Canis lupus familiaris: one gene and its partner. The protein of the gene in region 1 binds, or shares a complex with, the protein of each later gene. Links are inferred from orthologs where the notes say so. Each region holds a gene or a part of one and is shown on either strand. Other genes may lie near its edges.

Region 1 (3,388 bases):
AGACATTGATATCTACATTTTACAGTTGAAGGGCTGCTTCTGATAAGCCTATGTTTTTTTTTTTAAATTTTTTTATTTATTTATGATAGTCACAGAGAGAGAGAGGGAGGCAGAGACACAGGCAGAGGGAGAAGCAGGCTCCATGCACCGGGAGCCTGATGTGGGATTCGATCCCGGGTCTCCAGGATCGCGCCCTGGGCCAAAGGCAGGCGCCAAACCGCTGCGCCACCCAGGGATCCCTAAGCCTATGTTTTTATATCTCTTAGACTTTCAGGTCTTCCCAGCAAGGCCTAAAGATCCTCCATCCATGATTTAAGCTGTTAAAACTTCTAGCTTAATTTCTGTTAAATTCCTCTCTCTTTGTCTCAAGATAATTTTATCCCCAAATCATCCCTGCCTTTTGCTTTATTCTTTACTACTAGAGAACTCTAAATATATTTCCATTTTTCAATCCTCTCTTCTATCTTTAAAGTTAAGGAAAGAAGGAAAGTTAAGAAAAGAGAACCTTAGTTACTACTGAATCCCCGGTTGGAAATCCTTTCATTATTACTGTTTATGGCATTTTGAAGACTAGACTTAGTGGTTGATCTATGGCAGGGAAGGCCCTACAGTATCAAAAAAGACTTGGGATTGGATTTTACACCTTCCGCTGAAGTCTGAAAATTTTTTTTTCCCTGCTAGCAGTCTCATGGAGAAATTTTCTGGGTTTGAAATTCTGGAGGTGGTTTATGATTTGTCTTATCATAGATGACTGGATTCTGCAATGAATGTCATTAGTCTCTTAAAGCCTTCTATGGGCAAGTATGAGAATTCTAGTGAAAAATAATTCCTAAGTGAGAAATATGAAGTAAGTTTTAAAAGAAAAGGTAAAAGACAGTTAAAATGTCTTGAGGTAGCCATCAGATTCTCTGCTTAAGATAGAATTCCTTTTTTTTTTTTTGCATGATATCAAATCTTTGTTTTCCTAGAGCAGGATTTCTTAATAGCAGCACTATTGACTGTTTGAGCTGAAAAATCCTTTGTTGTGGTGGACTAACTTGTATGTTTAACAGCATCCGTGGCTTCTATCCACTAGAAGCCAGTAGCAGTTCCTAGTTTTAACAAACAAAAATGTCTCCAGATACTACCAAATATACTCTAGGGGAGGTAAAATTGCTCTCTGTTGAGAACTACTTCCCTACAGTAAAATCCATAATTTTGCCTTGAAAAATCATGCATAAAGTTAATATTTCATTCACTTCACTCCTTCCATTGATGGTTAGTTGAAGAAGGCATTCATTTCTACTTGACATACAAATTGTTGGCTCCAATTTGTGCTGAGCCTTTTCCACACTTAATTTCTTGCTGATAACTCAGAGAACTTTGAAAATAGAGTATAGCTAATATGTATCAAATGTTACTTTATATTGATTTAATTTCTCCCTTGATGTCCACAGCATAAAAAGTCACATGGAAAAGACAAAGAAAACAGAGGCATTAATTCAGTGGAGAGGCCTAAAGTGGAAGAAACTACAGAGCATTCTGTTACAAGGAGCAGATTACCTCTACGAGCCTAGATAAATCTTTAGTTAACTTGAGGATCGGTAATTCTATTTTTAAGAAAAATGAAAAATAAACCTAGAACTCCAGAACTTGAGCCTTATGTATAGACAAAAAACAAATGGAAAATATCAAGGCAATACTGTATATTTAGTTGAATTTAAAATGTCTACTGCTCATTTTTCTATCATCCCTGTAGTACACTGTGTATTAAGTTGGGTTTTATTTGGGATTTACATTGAGTAAATATGTATTTTTAGCTTTCGACATAAAATAGCCCTTTCCTAACAAATGAAAAATATTTTTCTTATATATCACTAGGCAGCACATATAGAGAAGTTGCACTGTTTTCTAGGCTTTAACTTACATAGGTAAATATTGCCAACTCAGTCTTGGGAAGGCACATCTCTTACTTTTCTTGCTGTAATTGAATTATGTCTAATATCGGCTTACTTCCTTCCCTAGACTTTTCCATTCTGCATTCTTAGCTTGCTTTCTCCTTTTTCATTTGTGTCCAAACCATTTGTAGAGCTGCAAAATGGTATCTATTCATATTATAAGGTATCCTGAATTTTACCTAGAAGTCTTGAACACTTTCTGTGGTGCTATTAAGATTACTGTCAACAATAAACAAATTCTAGAAGTATTCCTTCCTTCAATATTTTTAGTTTGTTTCTCCCTAGATGAAAAGCATTCTTTATGAGGCCTAACACATTAGCCCCCACAGAGTTCATAAAAAGCCAGCTTCTCTAGAATGTAGATTACTCTTATGGGAGAACTACCATAAGATCTCTGATTAATGGCTGTGTGGCCTATATCTTGTGCAGAAGGTCTCAGTGATTTAAGGGCTTTTTGAAACTATTAATTATGACTATAATTTATATCCTTTTGCTTGCTTACTTGAAACTTTTTGTACTTTGTATATAATAAAATATGTATATGTATGTTTTTCCTTAGTGAAATCTTAACCCTTAGAAAGGTCCTAACAGTTTTTATCTAGCAGCCAAATTTCTGGAAGCTGGATTTTTCAGCATGAAGAACAAGCACACTTAGAAGGAATATAGGCAAAGAAAAAATTTTGTGCCTACATCAAGTTAAGTGTATAAATTTTAGAGAGATTTGACTGTGATAGCTAAGTAAAGCCAAACCCAATTGGAGAATTAGAAAATGGCTACTTCAAGGAACTAAATTTACCTTGCAAAAGTATTAATTACCTTAATGAAAATAATGCTGCAATTTCCCTGCAAAATCAGATGTCAACATAAGCTATGGATAATATCTAATAAACTGCCCTCAGGAAATCCATTAATAAATTTGGTTTCTTTTTTTCTTTTTAAAGATTTTATTTATGTATTCATGAGAGGCAGAAACATAGGCAGAGGGAGAAGGCAGGGAGCTTGCTGCAGGACTCGATCCCAGGACTTGGATCATGATCTGAGCCAAAGGGAGAAGCTAAACCACTGAGCTACTCAGTTGTCCCAATAAATTTGGTTTCTGCATTAACTTGCTTGCCCTATTATTTATTTGGCAATGGATCTGTTTATAGAGTTCCAGCAAGTTGTTCTAAAATTCCTAAAATACACTTCCACACAGATAATCACCCAAGATGAAGGACCTTGATAATCCTAGGCTCTTTCAATTGCATTCTAAGGGGCTATACCCTAAGGTAAGTATAAGATTGATGAGAAACAGATGGGTCTTCACAGGGCCTGATGTCCAGCTGTAAGTCATCTGTTTCCTGACATTAAAGGCACCTAGGAATGCTAATACAACTGACAGACAAAAATAAATCACTGGAGAATTTTAAAAAATTTTATTTTAAATAGGCTCCACACCCAACATGGGGCTC
Region 2 (3,168 bases), on another chromosome or scaffold:
TGCATCAAAGAGCAGAGCTGGGTCAGGAGCCTGGTCTCTCTTGAGCATGGTCACTCCCATGCTCACATCCACCCCTGTCCCTCAGCAGCAAAGGCTTAAAGATGATAGAAATGCATTCATCAGAAGACATTAAATAGCTAGCCAGTGACTGCTGGACCCCCAGTGTTCACCTGTTGGGCTGTCTTGGTCTTGTGCTTCTCCTTCTTCTCTTTACCCTCCTTTGAGGGGGCCCCCGTCTCCTTATGCCCGTCGGCCGACTGCTCCAGGGCAGGGACGTAGGTCCGCCTTTCCCCGTCCCAGTACAGGTACTGCTGGCTTTGAGCGTTGTAATAATACTGGGGGAGGGGTGAGGGAGGGGGGTGTGAGGGAAGACCTCCGAAGGGGAACTGCAGACCCCACCCACTCCCTGGGCTACCCTATCACCTGGGAGTTGGGGTCATAGTAGAGACCAGTCTGGGGGTCATAGTAGTAGCCAGATGTCTCATCATACTGGTAGGTAGAGACGTCAGGAACAGCTGGGGGGGGGTAGTGAGAAAGGAGGGGGGGTCACACTCCTCTCTGCTTTGTTAAGGAACTCCCCGCCTCCCTACCACCCACAGGCCATGGCTACTCACGGTACTGGCTGTAGGACTCCTGGGCAGTGGGGCTGGTGGCCGGTGGCAAGGCAGAACTGGGATGAGTAGGGCTCTGGAGCTCAGATTTGAGCACAGCAGGTGACATGATGGTATATGACTGGTCATGGGGCCAGACAGGGTAACAGGACTCAATGTCTGCCAAAGCCTCCTGTACCCACGCCCCGCAACAACCCAAGATCCCCTGCCTGACACCCAGGAACCCCTCAAGCTCCCTCACCTGGCTGTTGGCAGCAGCGCCCTGGCTGCCACTCGCTTCAGCTGCTGATTGCTGATAGATGCCAGGGGCAGCACCAGGCTGGGCTCGAGAGAAAGCCTGCAGTGACACGGGGTCTGCCCCAGGCTCCAGGGAGGCCTCTGAACCTGTAATGAAGAACAGGGAAGGAAGGAGAATGCCTGTGAACAGGCAGGACCCAGGGCCTGCCACCCTCCCTAACCCCACAAAATGCTCAGAGACAGATGTTGGGCCTCACCTGCTCCAGATGGGTCCCCTTTAGTTCCAGTGATGCCGGGGCCCTTGGTGCCCTTGAGGTAGCCATGGGCATAGAGGGATGACTCTGTGCCCTGGCTGCCGCCATAGCCCTCATCCTGTTGGTAGTAGCTGTAGTCGACCGGTGGCTCCTCGGGGGTGGCCCAGGCACCCTCCCCACCCTGGGAGGCCTGAGGGGCAGTGGGAGGGGCTCATTAGCAGAGGAAGGGGCGCAGGGGGAGGGGAACCTGCTAAGAAGCATTTGCCCACAGGTGAGGCTAGTGTCTGTCTGCTGACAGAAAGCATGCAGGCCTCAGACAAGTGAAGTGTGAGGGCCACCCAGCCACAGCAAGGCAGGGCAGCGGCAAAAACAAGAATCCACCGAAGACATGTGCCAAAACACCCCCAGGGCTGACACTGGTATGTGTGTGGCATAGTTCAAGAGCTGGGTTGTCAGGTCAAGAAGACACTGTCCTCCCCTTCTTTATTCTCCTCTCCCAATTTTCTTTCAGCCATTTATAAATTCCATTTTATTAACAAAGTTGTAACAATGCAGGTCGATAAAATAACCACCAAATACAAGCGAAAAGCAGTCACGATGGTGTTGAAGTTGAAAGCCCGGGAGGAGGTGACTGGGAAGGGAGCTGCAGCAAGGCCCCCAAAGCCAATAGCAGCCACTGTGAAAGGGTTTGGGGTCCAGGGAAAGCCAGACAGCAAGCCAGCCCTCTTGGTTGCAGAGAGGGCACGAGAGGGTCGAGACCGTGGCCCCAGTATGGGGATGCTAGGGCAGAGGGGAGTCTTTGAGTACCTGTGAGATGGCCCACTGGGCCGCGGCAATGGCAGTACTGGCCACAGAGGCAGCATTGATGCGACTGCCTTCGTTGGAGGCCATGTCCCTGGGGAGGATGTCAGAGACTGGGAGTGAGATGGGAAGCCCCAGGCTGGGGGGCCAGCTAGGAAGGGGCATAGGTGGGGTCCTGACCTCTTAGAACCCTTGGCAAACTCAACGTTGATGGTCTTGCCGTCAATGGTGAGTGGTGGGTGCAGGGCCTGCAGGATCTGCAGGAGCTGGGCTGCCTCCTGGGGGAGTAAGGGAGGCAGGGGCAGAAGGGTCAGGCCCGGGGAGGCCCCCGGCTCCATTGCCCTGTCGCCAGGCTTGGAGCCGCGGTGGCGCGGGGTGAAATGGGGGGGTGTGGGTCAGGGTCCCTCCTCCCCACCCCGGGGGCCGGGACCCTGGCTGCCCGGCCCCCCCCTGTGCCGCCCTCACCACGATGGTGGAGAGCTGGATGAAGGCGAAGCCACGGTTCAGTTGGGTCTGCTTGTCCTTGATGACACGGACATTGGAGGAGGACAGCACCGCGTAGGGTGCCAGGGCCCCCAGGATGGAGTCCATGGTGCTGTGTGGGTTCAGGTTGCGCAAAATGATGGCTGTGGGAAGCGGCCCAGCATTAGGGGGCACCCCTGACACTCTGCTCCAGCCCTACCCCTCTGATGGCTCCCCACTGCCCCTCTCCTCTGGCCTCTGTGTCTTTGCCCTTGCTGCTTCCTCTCACCTCTTCCTCCTGGATAAACTCTGCTTGTTAGTCCAAGTCCCAGCTCAGTCGCTCACCTGCTGAGACCCTTCCCAACACACCCCCAAAGTCGAGTCGGGCAATGCTCCTCCTCTGCTCTCCCTACATCACTTCTGTCCCCCTGCCAGGCAGAGACCCTGGGAGGATTAAGTCCTGGTCACCACCATCTCTCTGGTCTTGGAGAGCCCGGCCCAGACACCCTAGGGCAGGGAGAAAGGAAGGAACAACTGACTCACTGTCATTGGCGTTCTCTGAGCTTGGCTCTGAGCCCTGTGACAGGGCTTGGGAGGCCAGCACTCCCTGGGCCTGGTAGGGCTGTGGCAGGGGGAGCAGGCCCTGGCTTAGCTCCCGTCCACCCAGTGGCAGCGTCTGCTGATCCAGCCTTGCGCCCAGGGGCAGCTTCTGCTCTGCCTCTGTCAGGGGTCGCAGAAGATAGGCCGATGACAAAGGGGGAGGCTCCAAGGCTGGTCACCCTCTTCCTCCCCTCTTCCACCAA

The links. Proteins that work in one complex are often made in the same cells at the same time.
Region 2: KIF11 (region 1) and RBM10 share a complex: the UniProt entries of both Homo sapiens proteins name them as parts of the large chromatin remodeling complex. The link is inferred for Canis lupus familiaris from reciprocal best matches to the Homo sapiens genes KIF11 and RBM10.

What each region holds. Positions count from the first base shown.
Region 1 is NC_049249.1:7,211,085-7,214,472, forward strand, and holds the end of KIF11 (kinesin-like protein KIF11), read left to right. Parts: intron 1-1,436; coding exon 1,437-1,556; 3' UTR 1,557-2,852; downstream 2,853-3,388. UniProt on the Homo sapiens protein: Motor protein required for establishing a bipolar spindle and thus contributing to chromosome congression during mitosis. Required in non-mitotic cells for transport of secretory proteins from the Golgi complex to the cell surface.
Region 2 is NC_049260.1:40,973,847-40,977,014, reverse strand, and holds part of RBM10 (RNA-binding protein 10), read right to left. Parts: intron 3,086-3,168; coding exon 2,909-3,085; intron 2,530-2,908; coding exon 2,369-2,529; intron 2,182-2,368; coding exon 2,084-2,181; intron 1,998-2,083; coding exon 1,910-1,997; intron 1,293-1,909; coding exon 1,106-1,292; intron 996-1,105; coding exon 853-995; intron 733-852; coding exon 615-732; intron 516-614; coding exon 424-515; intron 336-423; coding exon 171-335; intron 1-170. UniProt on the Homo sapiens protein: Binds to ssRNA containing the consensus sequence 5'-AGGUAA-3'. May be involved in post-transcriptional processing, most probably in mRNA splicing. Binds to RNA homopolymers, with a preference for poly(G) and poly(U) and little for poly(A).